Rattus norvegicus: one gene and its partners. The protein of the gene in region 1 purifies or fractionates together with the protein of each later gene. This does not show direct contact. Links are inferred from orthologs where the notes say so. Each region holds a gene or a part of one and is shown in the gene's direction. Other genes may lie near its edges.

Evidence for each region.
Region 2: the proteins of Srpk1 (region 1) and Drosha purify together in Homo sapiens (affinity purification with mass spectrometry; 3 studies listed by BioGRID and IntAct, counting the BioPlex papers as one, with this or other methods). This does not show direct contact. The link is inferred for Rattus norvegicus from reciprocal best matches to the Homo sapiens genes SRPK1 and DROSHA.
Region 3: the proteins of Srpk1 (region 1) and Top2a fractionate together in Homo sapiens (co-fractionation; 3 studies listed by BioGRID and IntAct, with this or other methods). This does not show direct contact. The link is inferred for Rattus norvegicus from reciprocal best matches to the Homo sapiens genes SRPK1 and TOP2A.

The regions. Positions count from the first base shown.
Region 1 is NC_086038.1:6,679,904-6,685,944, reverse strand, and holds the start of Srpk1 (SRSF protein kinase 1), read left to right. Parts: upstream 1-2,109; 5' UTR 2,110-2,186; coding exon 2,187-2,199; intron 2,200-2,560; coding exon 2,561-2,621; intron 2,622-2,934; exon of another isoform or gene 2,935-3,157; intron 3,158-6,041. UniProt on the Homo sapiens protein: Serine/arginine-rich protein-specific kinase which specifically phosphorylates its substrates at serine residues located in regions rich in arginine/serine dipeptides, known as RS domains and is involved in the phosphorylation of SR splicing factors and the regulation of splicing.
Region 2 is NC_086020.1:63,589,313-63,595,507, forward strand, and holds the start of Drosha (ribonuclease 3), read left to right. Parts: upstream 1-2,665; 5' UTR 2,666-2,738; exon of another isoform or gene 2,739-2,742; intron 2,743-3,789; 5' UTR 3,790-3,900; intron 3,901-4,726; exon of another isoform or gene 4,727-4,770; intron 4,771-5,461; 5' UTR 5,462-5,510; coding exon 5,511-5,527; intron 5,528-6,195. Other genes in the region: C2h5orf22 (UPF0489 protein C5orf22 homolog), read right to left, coding at 1,335-1,480, 2,262-2,342. UniProt on the Homo sapiens protein: Ribonuclease III double-stranded (ds) RNA-specific endoribonuclease that is involved in the initial step of microRNA (miRNA) biogenesis.
Region 3 is NC_086028.1:84,469,269-84,475,473, reverse strand, and holds the start of Top2a (DNA topoisomerase 2-alpha), read left to right. Parts: upstream 1-2,380; 5' UTR 2,381-2,489; coding exon 2,490-2,510; intron 2,511-3,560; coding exon 3,561-3,713; intron 3,714-4,262; coding exon 4,263-4,353; intron 4,354-5,083; coding exon 5,084-5,147; intron 5,148-6,205. UniProt on the Homo sapiens protein: Key decatenating enzyme that alters DNA topology by binding to two double-stranded DNA molecules, generating a double-stranded break in one of the strands, passing the intact strand through the broken strand, and religating the broken strand.

The DNA.
Region 1 (6,041 bases):
ATATAGACATATACATGACACTTGAAAAGGCTTCGGGGGCTGGAGAGATGGCTCAGTGGTTAGAGCACCAACTGCTCTTCCAGAGGTCCTGAGTTCAATTCCCAACAACCACATGGTGGCTCACAACCATCATGGGATCAGATGCCCTCTTCTGGTGTGTCTGAAGACAATGACAATATATACATACATACATACATACATACATACATACATACATATATATATATATATACACATATATATATTATGTCTTCTTGTTCTTTTAAGTTTTCTTCTCTTTTCTTTCTTTCTTTCTTTTTTTGTTTTTCTAGGCAGGGTTTCTCTGTATAACTCTCCTGGCTGTCTTGGAACTCACTACGTAGATCAGGATGGCCTTGAACTCAGAGATCCACCTACCTCAGCTTTGCAAGGGCGGGATTGAAGGCATTTGCCACCATGGCCTGCTGAAGATTGATTTTTACATATATGCATCTGTGGGTTTGTGAAAGTGAGTGCAGTGGCCTACAGAAGCAGGTCTCTATCGGATTCCCCTGGAGCTGGAGTTACAGGTTACTGTGAGCCCCGGGAAGTTTGTAGAGAACCCAACTCCAGGCCTCTGCAGGAATAGTTTGTGCTCTTAACCACTGAGCCATCCGTCCCGCATGTGCTCCCTATGAAGCATGGTCTCACTTTGTAGCCCAGATTGGCTTGGAGCTCGCTGTATAGCTCAGCGTGGCTTGAGACTTGCAGCAATCCCCTTGCCTCAGCTTCCTGATTACTGGTTGGAATACTAACATCTGGTTTACCCAGTGACTTTGTAGCTGTATTCTGGGCAAGCATCCTCTCTTTGCTAGCTGAGGCCTGAGCATGGGGGAAAAAAATCATGCTCAAAAAAGATCAAAAGGAGACTGTTCTGAAACATGTGTGAAGTATATAAAATTCAAATTTCAGTGCCTACTAGTAAATCTCCATAGCGGCATCCACGTCTATGCTTTGGAATAAATATTGGGGTCCAGAGTGCCTCGTGCTCCTCCCCCACCCATTTCAGAAATACCTGCTGATTCTACTTACTCTAAGGGTTTTGATGCCTGAATCACTGGGTTGGTACACCACGACTCTGAGCATACACCCTTTCCAAGTTCTCATCTTTCCGTATTGGGGATAATAACTACCTTGGCCTGCAATTAACATCAGCATCTAATAAGATCATGCACTTAAACAGTATGGAAACACCCTGTAAGTTCTACGATGAGGAGATAAAGTGATTCGAGGAGAAAACAGAAATCTCGTCCACCCCCTTCCTTTAAAGCTTTCAACTTATGGCTTTCAACTTTTAGAGGGAATTCCCTTTTGGAGTGTTTGCGTTTACTTTTAGAAACTGTTTTATTTACTTATGGGCGAGGGGTTGTTGCCTGTGCCTTGACTCCGGTGTGCAGCTCAGAGGGCGACCTGAGAGAATCCAGAATCGAGTCCTCTCGATTCGCGGGTTTGAACTCAGGTCCTCAAGCTTGGAGGTAGGCCCCTTTACCTGCTGGGCTGTCTCCTGTTCCAGTTCTTATTGATTTATTTTTGAATCAGGGTCTCATTATGTAGTCCTGGCCGGCCTAGAACTTGCTACCTATACCCACGGGCTTCGAACTGATACAGATGCACCTGCTTGTGGAGTGCTGGGATTAAAGGCATGGGCTGCTGGCCCAAGGTTTTATCTTCAAAAGATGACAACGGCACACGTTCCCTCCCTCCCTCCGGCCTTTGTTCTGTGTGCATCCACATTCGATTGCAGTTTCCCATTTTCTTTAGTGTCTTCACCGACCCTCACAACAGCTCAGGGAGGAACTGGGACATGTTTGGTCAATCGGTTTTGCAGGCCGGGCAACTGAGGCAAATCCCGACTGACTGCGGGGCCCTGCCCTTCCTCAGGAGGTAAGAACTTCTCCTCGATGCAGCTCGTTTTATGGCGGGGGCACTAGAACCAGCTTCCTTTTCAGGGTCCCTGGGTCCCCTGCGCTCCACTCCCGCACTCCCCGAAGCAGGTGGTAGGCTCCGGGTCTACTACGCAGGCGCGCGACGCCGTGCAGGGCGTGGCTGGGCGGGCCCGGAGGCGGGGCCGGCGCGCGCGGTGAGGGAGAGCTGGGATTAGGGCCGCGGCGGGAGCCCGAGTCGGCGTCACTCGAGTGCGCAGGCGCCTGGCGGTTACCGGTCTCGCCATGGAGCGGAAAGGTGAGCGGCGGAGCGGCCTCCGCCACGAGGAGACACCGCGGCCCCCGAGTGGGCGCCCGGCGCCTCTTCTGGCCGCAGTCGCGGCCCCCGAAGCGGCGTCACCCTCGCCCGCTCGCCCCTCGGCAGCGCCGTCCTCGGGCGCCCGCCGTCCCCGCCCCTCGTTCCGCAGCCCCCAGGCCGGGGCGGCGAGGCCTCATGGCCCGCCCGAGCCTCTGCGGGCGCGCCGGGCCTGGCAGCCGCCGTGCACTCCGGGCAGCCCGGCCCGCGCTCGGCCGGCACAGCCTCAGGCCCCACCGCCCTGCGTCCTCGCGCCGCTCCCCGCCTCCCTCTTACATCGGCCCTTCATCCTTCTCTCCCGCAGTGCTCGCGCTCCAGGCCCGAAAGAAAAGGACCAAGGCCAAGAAGGACAAAGCCCAAAGGAAGTGAGTCTTGTACCCCAACATCCCGCCCTTTGCGTCTTCTCGGGGACCTCCTCCTCCTCCTACCGGGTCGGGCGCCTCGGAAGCGCACTGGGTTCGGGCCGCTTCCCCCCAACCCCACCCCGCCACATGGCTTCTGAGTCGCTGTGTGATTCGCTCTCCGGGAACCATGTGGAAGGGAGCTGGGTCTCCAGGCCCCGGTCTTAGCAGCTCCCCAGGCCTGCTCAGGAAAGACCCAGAGCCTGCCCGGCACCACTCCCCAACTCCATCGGGGAGGCTCAAGTGTGGGCCGGCGGCCGGAGCTGGTAATCATTACCTGCCTGTGAACTCCTCTCTCCCCGCCTTCTTCCGCAGCGTCTTAACCTTGCCTCCTACGTCTGTCCGCACGCTCTGCCATCAGGAAATTGTTGAATGAATTTTTCCCTGTTTACCCTTGGCCCTGCCAACCACACGTTTGCCTGGGTAGAGGAGGGTGGCCGGCAGTCTTCCTTCGCGCCTGATTAGTCTACTTCCTAAGTCTTCGAGGCGCGGTGTGTCGCTGTCCTCTCGGTTGGGTTGTGCAGGCTGGCTGCGTTGTGCACTACCGGTGGGCGTGTTATCTGAACGGAGTTAGTGCAGTAATGTCGAGAGACAAATTGCTAGTCCATTCTGGCTTGAGCTACACTTGCCAAATTTGTTAGTGATGTTGGGGGTGCCTGCACAAAAGAGAGCACAGCTTGATAGAAACGCACGGGCTGGAGTCTTCAAGTGAGCTTAGCTGCTGCCACCCCTCATCCCCCCCCCCCCCCATTTTTTTTTTGAGACAGCCTTGACTGCCCTGAACTCACTATGTAGACCAGGCTGTCCTCGAACTCGACATCCTCTTGTCTCTGGCTCTGAGAATCCTGGGACTAAGGGACGTGTGCCACCAGTGCAACTGTGGGAGCACTGCCACTGAGCTTAGAGGACAGCTTTAAGGATGATCTTGTACTCAGATTTAGTAGCAGAGGCTCCTCCAGGTCGACTCAGAAAGATCTCTGCCCAGCACTCCATTTCAGATGAATTATTTTCCGTGGTTTTCCATTTATCTGGTATTTTGTGTTGGATGCCATCAAGCTGGGTCTGCACTGCTATACCACACATTGGAGGTCTTCCTAGGTCACCCAGAAAGACAGTACCAGATCGGGCTGAGTGTTTTTGGAGGCTCCCTGATGTTTAGGGAGGCTGTGTCATGACTTCTCTGAGTGGGACCAGAGCATTTCCTGTGGTGTGCCTTAGGAAGTTTTTAAGTTTGCACAAGGTGTGGGGCCGGTGCGAGTGCTCAGGTTCTTGGGTTGGCTATCCATTCACAGACTGTCCAGCACGAGTTTTTAATCCCACACTGATTGGTTAACAAACGGCAGCAGCTGGAATCTCAGCACTCCTTGGGGAAGCCATGCGAATGTTTTATGTTTTCTGGTGGGAAAAGGAAATGATTTACTAATCACTTAAAAAGTTTTTTTTCCCCCTCATATTTTATTTTTGGTTTTTCTCCATGTTCCCTGGCTGTTCTGGAAGTCTCTCTGTGGACTGCCTCTGCCTCGAGTGCTCGGATTGAAGGCCTGCACCGTCACACTTGGTTTAAAGGGGTTTTGAAAAGACGAGCGTCTCACTATGTACAGCCTAAGGTGGTCTTGAACTTGGGGTGATCTTCCTGCGTCAGCCTCTACAATGACAGGATGACTAGTCTTGTGCCATCGTGCCCAGCTGGCTAGTCACCTGTGTTTTGGTCTGTCCTGTGTAAGACATGGCATCTTATTTAGATATGAGGTTGAGCACTGTCATGGGGCAGGAGAATGCAAGTGGATGGTCGCACATGCAGCAGAGGTTCAATATTTCATGTGGTCGAGGGTGAACATGCGGTGTGTGTGCATGGGAATGATGTGTCAGAGGCCAACATTACAAGTTGACTCTGTCCTTCTCTGTGTAGGGTTGAACCTGGGTTCTGGTGGCGAGAATCCTACCCACGGATCCATCTTGCCTGCCGCACATGCTTGTTTCAAAAGCAGACAGACTACCTTAGTGTTGGGTACTCTTATTTCTCTCACTACTGCAGGCAACTTGGAGTTGTCCGTGCTCTTAGTTCTCCCTGTGCTTACCCCTACTTTACTGAATATAATCTTGCCTCCCCCTTGTTTCCCAACCTCTTTTTTTTTTTTTTTTTTTTTTTTAAGATTCATTTATTCTATATAAGTACACTGTAGCTGTCTTCAGACACACCAGAAGAGGACATCGGATCTCTTTACAGATGGTTGTGAGCCACCATGTGGTTGCTGGGAATTGAACTCAGGACCTCTGGAAGAGCAGTCAGTGCTCTTAACCGCTGAGCCATCTCTCCAGCCCCCAACCTCTTCTCAAGTAGTTAAATTGTCTGATTAATTAATTTGGGGATAGTTCTGTGGCAGAAGCCCCACCTGACCTAGGTAATGACTCTGCTCCTGACAACTTTGCTATTTTTCAGGCAGAGGTATAAGCTACCAAGAAGCTGTTAGGAAGCCTGCCATAGTTTGGTCTTCTGAGTAAGGGGGTCTGATTCTGAGATCTGATTGTAGACCGACTTGGACTTACAGGTCTATATTTGAGTCACTCAGCCATAGTGACAAGCAATCAGGACTAAGCAATATAAGAAAATAGTGTTCACATGTACAGGCTTAGAGGTTCTCAAGTGCTCCCCACTATGCAGCCATGGTGTGGCACCGAAGGGCAGGATTGTCCTGATGCTGTGGACTGCCTGTAAACCAGACCCCCAGCACTTGGAGCCGTGGGTCACAGTCAGAGCTGGCGGCTGGGCTCCTGCTCCAGAGCATCGTCCCTTTGGGTCTGTGCTCCAAGGTTAAGGGCAGGTGACCTTGCCTAACCTGAAGGATTCCTTCCCTACCCTACTGTTCTAGAGCTTTCCGTCCATTCTTTCTGATGTTTTTGGGGGTGGGGTGGTCAGGGAGAGATAGGTTCTCTGTAGACCTGGCTGTTCTGGAGTTCACTGTAAATTAGGCTTTCCTTGAACTCAGGCCTGCTTCTGTGCTGGGATTGAAGGTGTGCTCCACCACACCCTAACAGAAAATAGACATTTTCTATTTACTCTCATGTTAACTAGTTGTGTAGTGATCAGTTTTGCTTTAGATGATTAGAGGTCAACTCTTTAGACATCTGTGAAGCTAGGACTGGGACCTGGGTTGGGTGTGCTCTGTAGCCCCATGGCTAGATACCTTGTATTGGGACAAATAAGGAAGGGCCTGAGGGGAAGAGGCTTCTGTGGCCCTTGGTACTTGGTGCTCACCTGTGACCCATTGTGTGAGGAGCGGGATGCAGGGGGTGCAGGCTGCACCTTGCCTGTGAGCATTTGCATTCCAGTGTGCTGCAGGGCCTGAGCCGCCTTCCTCTGCTGTGGGCTGTTGGACTCCAGCA
Region 2 (6,195 bases), on another chromosome or scaffold:
AGGTAGTTTTACTGAAGAACGTTCTTGGTTTTATTAATTCTTGTTCCTAAGTAGATATTTTAAAATATTCTGTGAAGCAAAAAGAGGGCTGCACCAAAACTTCTGCTGTAGACCGTGAAGTACAACAGTTGCTTCAAGGAAAAGCACTGAATTCTGAAATGAATTGTCTTTGAAAGATCAATTAACTGGTTATTTAGACACAGGACTGAACCTCTGGAGTCTGTATTCCAGCCAAGCTTTTGTAAGCTTGTGGAGGATCAAAGAATAGTCAGAACATTACTTACCTGAATTAGTATTGAAAATACTATCTCATTTTCTAATCACTTTTGTAAGAGCACGAATCTTAATCATAAACTTCAATCAAAATGGCACATAGCAATGGACTGAATCAAACAGATGGAGAATCCGGGTGTCATTTGCAAGGGCAAAAATGAAAGAATTGCCTTGTCTGGCCCCAGTGGCAGTGTCTTAGTCAGGGTTCCTATTCCTGCACAAACATCGTGACCAAGAAACAAGTTGGAGAGGAAAGGATTTATTCAGCTCACACTTCCACGTGGCCGTTCATCACCAAAGGAAGTCAGGACTGGAGTTAACACAGGGCAGGAAGCAGGAGCTGATGCAGAGGCCATGGAGGGATATAACTTACTGGCTTGCTCAGTTTGCTTTCTTATAGAACTTGGGTATAGACTACCAGCCCAGGGATGGCACCACCCACAATGGGCCCTTCCACCCTTGATCACTAATTGAGAAAATGCCTTATAGCTGGATCTCACAGAGGCATTTCTTCAAGGGAGGCTCCTTTCTCTGTGATAACTCCAGCTTATGTCAAGTGGACACACAAACATAGCCAGATACACTAAGATATTGGTTATCAAGGGTAGGAATGTGTGGTGGTTGAATGAAAATGGACCCATAGACTCACATATAGGAATGCCTAGGGAGTGGCCTTTATTAATCCAATCAAGATAATCCCTCACAGGCAAGCCCTGTAGCCACTTCTCAGAGAATTCTAGATTCTGCCAAGAATCTAGACTTCTGTCAAGAATATTGACAACACTTAACCATAAAGAGGCTACAATGTAGCCCTGGCTCTCATCAAACTGTAATTCTTCTGCCTCAGCATTCCAAGGGCTGGGATCACAGGTTTCAGCCACTGCACTCGATCCTTATTTTGGCTCTTTTAGTTAGTTAAAAAAAATGTTCTAACTAAAATTTAAAAGGGCAAACAAACAAAAACAAATAAAAAACCCAAACATGAGTGTAGCAGAATCTATTGTTTATCATGTTATACGTTGTATTTCAAATACATAAAATATGATAAAAAAAAATGTTACCCAAAGAGTGCTTCTTTATCAAACACAGTGTCTGCCGGCATATTCACAGGAATAAGGAGGTCTGGGTGGGAGTCAAAGTGTAAAAAACGTATATTACTGTCAGGAAGATGCTTCGAACCTATGGCCCGGTATATGAAAGGCAGAACCTGTAACAGAGACAGACGCATACACACTTGTCAAGTGCAGACAAAACAAAAGAAAAAACTGCATCAACTTGAAGTGCACCAAGTTGCTGAAGTGGGAAAATACAAAAATGGTAGATGGTTCTGACGATAATCTCCATCTTTATCACCCAACAGTCCAGAACCACGTACTCTAGTATTAAACTGTGTTCCAGGTACCTGGGCATTTTCTGTCCCTTTAGGATGGTGGTGCTAGACTAGATGACTTTTTCCTCTTACTCGCTATACATCCAAGTTTACTACCAAATTTAAAAGCCAGACTAACCCAAAGTTGAGTTTCTCAGAGATAGACCTTCTTTCCAACTTTCTCCATCAGTAAATAACCTTCTCCCACTTTTTCCTGGGGACAGGGGTTGAACCCAAGATCTGCGGCCAGCACTGTACCACTGAGCTTCGTTCACTCTAGATCCCCTTTGTTTTATATCCAGAGACTCTCCACAGGTCCATAAACAAATCTAGACTTGCTTGGTTGTCTTCCAGAAGTCTACTGAAGCACTGCCATATAAAACGTTAATAAACGCTAAGGCTTACGTCTTCAGCGACAGCCCTATAATACATTCTACGATTATTGGGGACCCATTTCACCGCCGCGGGTTCAGGTCGTAGGTAACCTCGTTAAACGGTAGGATGATGACGTCGGCAGGGGGACAGGCTGCGCCAGCGTTAGGTGCTGGTCAAGTCTCTGCAGGCTGCCGGGGTTCGAATCCCTCCTGCCAGGGCTCGGTGGCTTGCGTCGCCCGCTCACCTCCTGGTGATCCTCCACTACCCACACCGGGAGCCTGGGATAGCGCCTGAGGCGCGCGCCGTCGCCTCCCGTGTCACTCATGTCTCCGCGCGACCGAGGCCGCGGTGACTCTGAGACACCCGGGAGAGGAGCCCAGCACCTCCAAGCCGCGCGCCCCACGGTCCATTAGCGGCGGAAACGCGCGCTCACCCGGTTGCGCTTCCGGATTGGAGGACAACAAGGTGGAGGGGCGTGTGTGAGACCTGTAGACATTGTCGATTGGACTAGACGTCCGTCACTCTCTCTGATCTACCAATCACAGCACAAAAGGTGCTGCGACGCGCTCCGGAGAGTTTTCCCTCCCCAGGCCCAGCTTTCTCGGCTTTGCTTTTTAATTCCCGGGGTTTCCTGTTCCGGAGGCGCGGGGTGGCGCCTCTGCCGTGGAGGCTGTTATAGTAACCAGGCTGGGCTTTGATGGCGGCGACCTCGGTACTATCTGTAGGTAAACCGGGGCGCGTGATGGGCGTTCGGAGAACGAGAATCGAGGGTCGGGATTTAAATGGAGTCCGGGACTGAGCGAAACGATCCTGGGAGCTTGGGTCTGGCAGCTTCGGGGCAGATCTGCCTCCAGGGCGAAAGAGATACAGATCCCGTTGATGTGGAGCAGCGGGATGGGATGCCTTTCATCTATTTGTGGAGCACAAGCGGTGGTGTAGGCGCGGGGCGGCCCGGGCTCCAGTGGGAGGCGAGTCCCGGAGTCTGGCACTTAACCCCGCAGGCTGGCGGGAGATGCAAACTAGACTACATGCAGTTGCTCATCGTCCTGCAGGAGGCCGGGCTGCAGGTTCAGCCTGGGGAAAGTGCGGGGTTTCAGCGACTTCTAGACACACCTTGCAACCCTCGTGTGTCGATCGCCGGTCCTGGACAAGTAAACTGTTCAGAATAGCTCCCTCGGTTTCCCTGCTTTCAAAGGGCATTCCCAGGAATAGGTATTTCCCACTTGCATTAACTCACTGACTTGAGTTAAACTTTGCATCCACAGTACAGTGAGTGGTACAGTATTGTCTAGCTTTTCTAACGGAGTATGCCGTTCCGTTTTTACACTGTGGAGAGGTGTTAATTCCCCTGACTGTTGTCCAACTCTAGCTTCAGTTCAGTCCTTTTTGTTCTCCTGGACTCTCTACATCCTTATTTTCTTGTATTTATCACATTGCATTTTTCCTTTTAAAGTGTTTGGGACATGTTGTGTTGTTGTTATTATTATTATTATTATATAAACATTTGTATGTGGATTTTGCGATCCTTGAACTCAGCAGGCTTGTGCGCCTTACCCATCTTTGAGTCTACAGAGTTTGGGACAGTGTCCCACATATGCTGTCTCAGTAAGTGATGGAGTCAGTGAATATGTCTGCTTCCGAATATGTCTGCTTCCCAGGTAGTTTTGAAAATGTGTATTTGTGGGAGGAATAGAATGAAAATGTAAACTTAGTGATTTAGAGACATACCCAATGAGGGAGATTAAAACTTGCCTGCCGTTTACTGTGTGCAGAGGCTGTGAAGGATGCAGGAATGACTGAATGAGCGCATGATTTCAAGGATCTAGTAAATGCTGGAGGAGTTCACCATGGGCACACGTGACTGTCACATACAGCAGATTCTGGTAAGTTCCCTAAAAGAAGTGAGTATACACTAAGTAGTAGCAACCTAGAAGGGATGAGATTGAGTTCCCAAAGGAAGTCAGGAGTTCTTCACAAGAAGAGGTTGGTGGATGGTTAGGAATTCATTGGACAAGTTAGGGAGAATGGAAGCGAAAAAGTTTTATGATAGTGCTTGGTATGTTAAGTGATCCAGAAACTATGGGCTGACAGGGACTTTGTGGAGAAGGAAGTAAGATGATAGCCCGGGAGAGATTGGGTTCAGTTTCTGTAGGGCCTCAAATCCCAAGGAGCAATCATTGATCCTATTATTTGGTAGCTATTGTTTATTAAGCAGTAATTGATAGAGCTCATATATATATATATATATGTATATATATATATGTGTATATATATATATATGTAAGTTTGATAGAGACAAACATTTTTAAAAATTTTATTTTTGTGTGTGTGTATGTTTGTGTGTGTGTGTGTGTGTGTTTGTAACTTCTCTAGAGTTAAAGAACTTACAGAAAGAACTGACAGAATGAATCTACATGTATAGAAAGGGGATTTATTAGAATGACTTGCACGCTGTGATCCACCTAATCCAACAATGGCTGGCTATCAATGGGAAGTCACAGCAGTTTCATATTAGATGTCCTGCCTATCACATATTTACATTACGATTCATAACAGTAGCAAAATTACAGTCATGAAGTAGCAATGAAATAACTTTATGGTTGTTTGGGGGGGGGGTCACCAGAACATGAGGGACTGTCCTAAAGGGTCATAGCAATAGGGAGGTTGAGAGCCACTAGCCTACATATTTGTATGTATACTTGTGTGCAGGTACCTCCAGAGGCTGGAAGAGGGCACTGGATCTCCTGACAGCTGTGAGTCACCCAGCATGGGTGCTGGAAACTGAGCTCTGCAAGAGCAGCAAGTGCTCTCCACTGCTGAGCTGTTCTCCAGCCCCTAGAAAGATGTTTCTACATTAAACCTTGAGCGTCCTAGAGCTCCAGCTCTGTAGACCAGGCTGGCTTTGCACTCACAGAGATCTGCCTGTTTCTGCCTCCCCAGTTCTGGGATAGCCTTGTGTGGTGTGTGTGTGTGTGTGTGTGTGTGTGTGTGTGTGTGTAAGTTCATTCGTGTTTGCAGTGTTCTGTGGGAAGAGCTGAGGATGAAAGTAAAGAATGGTGGTTGTTTCTTAGTCAGGTTGTGGCTCTATTTGAATTAGACTCAGGTTTCACTGGGGTTTTTGGGTTAGCTTTATGCCTACTTTATATTACAGTGAAGGGAATTCTGTCTGTGGAGGATGGAGGAAGTCTTTCCTTCAATCTTCTACCAAACCTTAGCAATGGCTAGTTTTGGGTTAGCACAGCTGCCCAACTAACAAGGACAGCAATTTGCTTGGAAAATCGACCATAGCTCAGTATGCTCCTGATTTGGTAAGAGACTAAGAGCATTAGAGGATTTAAAATCACTGATAATCGTAAACCAAGACAACCCCCTCCATACCCCTCCCCCACTTTTTTTAAGCACTGGCACTTTTGGAAATGTGTTTAAACCTTTTCTGTCTTGTAGAACTTACATTGTGAGCGGAAGATGTAGCTTATCTACAGTGTACCTCGAGATGCAAGGCAATACGTGGTAAGTGGGATGCTGGAAATGGCAGTTTCGAGAGAGTAGAGGAGAGGGGGAAGGTAGTGGGCCAGAGAGGATGGGAAAGTTTCAGATACAGGGGAAGGGCAGGGACTGTGTTCATTCTGTTATCTGTGGTCATCACTTGTTAAGAGATTTTTGTGGAGGGCTAGGAGCCAGACCAGAAGAGTCAATGAAACATCCTAGAGGCCTCCCCTGATCGAGCTTGCAGTTCTTGATGTCACATAGGCATTGAAGGTAGACCTACATAATTATTGGTGGACTGTGACGCTTGCAGGACCTGCTAAGAAGCCACGCAGAGTGTTATAAGAGCGGGTGTATTATTCAGGGTTCTCTAGAGTTAGAGAATTTATAGAATGAATCTCTTTCATTTCATAAAAAGATTTTGTTAGATTAGCTTACAGACCTTTTTTGTAGTTACTGTGATGGTTTATATATGCTTAGCCCAGGGAATGCCAGTGTTTGGAGGTGTGGCCTTGTTGGAGTAGGTATGGCCTTGTTGGAGTAGGCGTGTTACTGTGGGCGTGGGCTTTAATACCCTAGTCCTAGCTTCATAGAAGCCAGTATTCTACTAACAGCTTTCAGATGAAGATGTAGAACTCTTTTTTTTTTTTTTTTTTTGCTTCTTTTTTTCTGGAGCTGGGGACCGAACCCAG
Region 3 (6,205 bases), on another chromosome or scaffold:
GATACATAGAGAAACCCTGTCTCCAAAAACTGAAATAAATTAAGTATTAACACTAAGTGCCCCCATATCCCATTTAGCTCCATGTACCTTTAACAATGGGTAACGTCATGTGGGGAGGGGGCTGAGGCAGAAGTTATTTGGGGGCTGGTTAGTGGAGTGGTTGCCTAGTATGCATGAAGCCCTGTATTTGATCCTGAGCACTGCACTTTTTTTTTTTAAGGTTTATTTATTTATTATATAGAAGTACGCTGTAGCTGTCTTCATGCACACCAGAAGAGGGCATCAGATCCCATTACAGATGGTTGTGAGCCACCATGTGGTTGCTGGGAATTGAACTCAGGACCTCTGGAAGAGCAACAAGTACTCTTAACCACTGAGCCATCTCTCCAGCCCCTAGCCTTAACCCTTAGGAGGCAGAAGGGAAAGAATCAGTCAGAGGTTCAAGAGCATCCTTGGACACAGCAGGTTTCAGGTCCAGTTTGGGATACCTGAGGCCTGCAGGGGTGGGAGGAGTGACTCTGCCTTCTGAGATTTAGAAAAGACCAAAAATCATGATCCAGTTGAACTTGTGGGGAGACTTTAAAGCTCATGCCTCTCATCTCCACTGAAGCTGTCCCAGAAAACAGGATTGAAACTGCTTCCTGTGGGAACTGAATTCCTGTGGCCTCATCTCCAGGTGGAGCCTGCAGGCTTCGAGCTGGGATGAACTACAGGACAGAGGACAGGAGTGAAAGGGCCTCCTTGAGAAGCATAGCCACCTGGCTTCTGTGCTCCAAGAGAGGTAAAGGTAGCTTGCCTGGCTTCTGAATATCAAGGAAAGCTGCAGAGAATGACAACCCTGGATGTGGCACCCACAGCCTTGTCGGTCTTCCGACTGGACAGAAGTCCTAATTGCTGAGTCCCTACTGGCCCTAAGCATTGAAGTCAGCCTCCTTTATTAACACACAGGATAAGGCTGAAAACACTGAAGAGAAAGAGAAAGACCAGAATAAGATCAAAACTCTATTCCTTTGGTTTTCCTATCATCCAGGCCACATTCCTTCACTGACCTTCTCTTTCATTTGCCAGTGGGGTAATTGTTGGACGTGTGGAGTTATTTAATAATGGTTGACCCCGGGCTTCTTTTGGAAAGGAAAAATATTTTAATTCACCAAATTCGTTGCTGATAATAGCTAGCTTTTTTTTAGGGTGGTGGTGGGGTTAGAGACAGGATTTCTCTATGTAGCCCTGGCTGCTCTGGAACTCACTCTGTAGACCAGGCTGACCATAAACTCTGAGATCCACCTGTTCCTGCCTCCCAAGTACTGGGATTAAAGGTGTGGTGTCGCACACTAGCTTCTTATATTTATCATTTCTGGGTTTGTTTGTTTGTTTGTTTGTTTTTAGCACAGGAAATTGAAGCTTTCTCCATCGAGAACCCACCAAGCCCCAGCCTCCCATGTCAAACTGAACAGCGCTCTAGACTGCATTGTGCGCAGAGGGCAAACATAAAGAACACTTGTGGGTTCCCTCACCAGCTGAGGGAGACGTTATGGTCTCATGACCGCTTCTCATCTTCTCCACTGAAGAAGCACGAATGAATCTTTTTATCAGTGGTGATCCACAGGGGATGTTAACGCTGTCTACGATTCTACTTGGTGTCTACTCTTTCTGTATGGAAGGCTAAGTCCACAGCGGAAGAACTTTACAGAATTTCTCCAGAGCTAACCCAGTGCGTCTCAACTTCCACTTCCTAAGGTTGCAGCCCTTTAACACAGTTCCCTTATGTTGTGGTGCCGTCCTATCATAATCATTCCATTGCTATTTTATCACTGTAATTTTTGCTGCCGTGACGAATTGTAGCGTAGTTATCTTCTATAGGATCCCCCTCAAAGGGGTCACGACCCACAGGTTGAGAACCGCTGCCCCTCGTCAACCCCGCGAGAGAATGGGCGTTGCTTCCTTGGTCAGAAAAAAAAAAAGAAAAGCAGAAAAGCACATCCCAGGATTAGGAGAGAATCTCTGTAATCTCAACGAATCTGAAACAAAGAATGCGCATCCGTGTTCTAGTTTTACTCAGGAGGACAGTTTAGTCAACCGCTTTGCACTTCCAAAAAGCCTTCTCTCTTCAGAGTATCTCTCAGAGCACACAGACCCTCCTCATTGGTCAGATTTCCTGTCAGTCACAGTTACAATTGCTATTGGTCCATCTTGAGGTTTCTCCCGCCTCCCTTTACCTAATTGGTTCATTCGAAAAGGCCGCCTGTTGAGTAAAAGACCTTTGTGAGTAAAAGACCGTCTGCGATTGATTGCTGTAAACAGAGCAAATGAGAGCGAGTCGGTGATTGGTTCCTCTGATTTGGGCGGGCTAGATGAATGTTCAAATGAAACTAGGGAAGCTCTCCTAACCGACGCACGTCTGTGGAGAAGCGTCCAAGTCGCCGGTCGCCTAGCGTTTCTCACTGATTTTGTCGCTTTTAGGATTCTCGAGCCCCTTCAGGACGGTCACCATGGAGTTGTCACCGCTGCAGGTACAGCTCGCGGATGGGACCGGGTAGTAGAGCCTTTACGCGGCTTCTGCGTTCATGGCGGGTGATGAAAGTTGAGGCTCCTGGGCCGAGGGCTGGCCGGCGACGGGCTAGGATCTGGTCAACTCCATCTTCTGGGCCTTGAGGGGTCATGGACAGGGTGAAGCTCTTTACGAAATGATATCGATAATCTAATCTGGGTTCTTGAGTGTCGTGTTTTTATTGTTGGTGGGGGCAGGTTCAACTCGTCCTGTGATCGGTCTGTATTCTAATAGCCCCAGGGTGACTTCCAACCGGCTTATAGTTGAATTCGATGGCCCACTTTCCTTCCCTAGTTGATTTGAATAACTCATCACGGAAGGTGCAGAACATGACAGTTCCCACTGAGGAGCTGGCTGACCGAGTGGCTCAAAAAAGTCCTGTTTCAGGATGTGAATGTGGCCAAGGGTTTGCATCCCTAGCATCCCAACTGCTACGGCTGGATAACACCACCATCTGCAATCTGCACGAGACTGTGTGGGCACTCAGTAAACATTTTTCCATTAGATGAAAGAAGTTGAGTGTAGTTTATCGATGACATAAAAATATTATTCAAGGCAGAAATGTCCATACTTGGCTGAAATAAAATACTTATTTAAACGGGCACCTGTAGCCAGACCTAGTGGGGCAGGCCTGGAATGGCATCTGCTCCAGAGACTGAGGCAGGAGGATGGCTTAAGCTACCTAATGCGACACTATCTCAGAAACAGCAACGGGGTTTTGAGAAGCAGGTCTGGGGAGTTTGCTCAGTGGTCAGAGCATTTGCCAAGCACGTGCATGCAAGGAAGGCCTTGGGTTCCATCCCCAGCACCACACATACACAAACCACAGAACCTAGTTCCAAGGATTTTAATTGAATTGTTTGTTTGAAACTATGCAAACTCTCCCGGTACCTACAAGCAGAGGACAGATTGTGATGCAGTGTATTGACTTTATCATAACTGCAGATACTTTGTTGGCCACTTCTGATAAGGTTGTAAAAATCAGTTTATTTTTGCTTCCCCAAATGACTAGCCTGTAAATGAAAATATGCTACTCAACAAAAAGAAGAATGAAGATGGCAAGAAAAGACTGTCCGTTGAAAGAATCTATCAGAAAAAAACCCAACTGGAACATATACTGCTCCGCCCAGATACCTACATCGGCTCTGTGGAGTTAGTGACCCAGGTAAAACCAAACTAGCTTAGTGCACTTGCTCTATAACACGGCATACTGTGTCAGGTTAATGTTTCTTACTTTACTTGGCGTCACTGGAACTGATCCTTCATTGATGCAGATACGGACTCTGTGCGTGTGTTTCAACATTTATTCTAGAAGACTTTACTCCTGAATGTATTGGTGCAGGCCTTTAATCTCAGCACTCAGGAGTTAGAGGCACATGGATCTCTTGAGTTTGAGGCCAGCCTGGTTTGTGTAGCCAGTCTCTGGCCAGTCAGTGCTACGTAGTGAGACATTGTCTCAGAAAAGGCAAGAATATTAATGTCAAACAATAAATAAATAAATAAATAAATAAATAAAAAAAACTAGTGAGACACTGTCTCAGAAAAAGCATGAGTATTGGGGTTGGGGATTTAGCTCAGCGGTAGAGTGCTTGCCTAGCAAGTGCAAGGCCCTGGGTTCCGTCCCCAGCTCCAAAAAAAAAAAAAAAAAAAAAAAGCAAGAGTATTAATGACAAAACAATAAATAAATAAAAATAACTTTCTTTGCCTTTTCTAGCAAATGTGGGTTTACGATGAAGATGTTGGTATTAACTACAGGGAAGTCACTTTTGTTCCTGGTTTGTATAAAATCTTTGATGAAATTCTAGGTAAGTAAATATTTTTATATAAAGATCTCCTGGTTAAGTTCCTAGGTATCATGCATACCAAACCTTCTGTAGACATAGCCTCTGCTCCTGTCATTTCAGGTAATTAGTGGTCAAAAGTGAGGCAGTCAGGCTGCCTGTGGCAGTCACGTCTTTAATCCTAGCACTTGGGGGTACAGGTGCACAAATGTCTGCATTTAAAATTGGCTTGAGGGGTTGGGGATTTAGCTCAGTGGTAGAGCACTTGCCTAGCAAGTGCAAGGTCCTGGGTTTGGTCCCCAGCTCCGAAAAAAAAAAAAAAGAATAAAGTCGGCTGATCTACGTAGTGAATTCAAGGCACTTAGACCCTACCGCCAAAAAGGAAAACAGACAAAAAAAAAAAAAACCAAGATAATCCAAATAAAGTCCAGAAAGTTAAGTTTTTCTCTGGAAGTAGTACTATGAACAGAGATTGGTATACTAAAGCAACAAGGTGTTAATTCCAATGCCCAGGAGAAAGATGCAGGAAACTCAAAAGTTCAAGGTTATTCTTCACCACGTAGCAAGTTCAAAGGCAGCATGAGATGCGTGTGATTCTGTCTCAATAAAAACTGCTGTAAACTAATGCCGTGTTAATGTTGGGGTTTTGTTTTGTTTTGTTTTTTGTTACTTGTGAATGTTTTTCTTTATTATAGACCTAGTGTGTTGTAAAGCACTTTAATGCCTTCTAAGTGTGTATTTTATTTTCTTACAGTTAATGCTGCTGATAACAAACAAAGGGACCCAAAAATGTCTTGCATTAGAGTCACAATTGATGCGTAAGTGAAGCTGTCTGTGCTAGTGCTCCTATTCTTGTGCTTGCTTTGATTACCGTGAAGATAGCTTCTTTAAAATTAATGTTTTGGGGGCTGGAGAGATGGCTCAGCGGTTAAGAGCACTGACTGCTCTTCCAAAGGTCCTGAGTTCAAATCCCAGCAACCACATGGTGGCTCACAACCATCTGTAATGAGATCTGATGCCCTCTTCTGGTGTGTCTGAACAGCTACAGTGTACTTATATATAATAAATAAATAAATCTTAAAAAAAAAAATTAATGTTTCAGGGGCTGGAGAGATGGCTCAGTGGTTAAGAGCACTGACTGCTCTTCCAGAGGTCCTGAGTTCAATCCCCAGCAACCACATGGTGGCTAATGATCCAATAATGAGATCTGGTGCCCTCTTCTGGCCTGCAGGCATACACGGATGCAGAGCACTATACATAATAAATAAATCTTTGGGGAAGAAAAAGGACTGAGTGTAGCTTGGTGGTAGCATGTGTGTAGTCCAGACCCAGGACTACAAAACCAAAAAGCTTACCAGCTGTGGGTGGTATATACACTTCATCCCTTCAGGAAGAGGCAGAGACAGATATCTGCATACCAGGCCACCTAGAATTTTGTGGTGAGACCCTGTCTCAAAACAAAACAAATTTCCACAGTTGCTCTGAGCCATTTCAAAATAATTTGTAGACATTATGCTTAACCATGCAGTGAGACAGGGCAGGATGTCGGCTAACATTTGCAATAATTATTCTAGTCATCTGAAAGTCTAGAAGGGTTTGGGGTTTTTGTTACTGTTATTTCCTTTTTGATGATGCTATTGAAACAGCAAGCCAGCAGCTGGTAGTAGAGAATAATTTGGGTTTATATTTCTGGTTTTAAATGCGAGTGTGCCTGATCCACATTTTCTATTACCCTGATCAGTGTGATGTAAACTGTTTAAGGCTCCTGGAGGGGGTATGTTATTGATGACCAAGTACTTGAGTACACTTAAGGACTTGATAACGATCTTTTCAAGAATGTTGACCTAGTTTTAACTGATAAGTTTTTTTTTTTTTA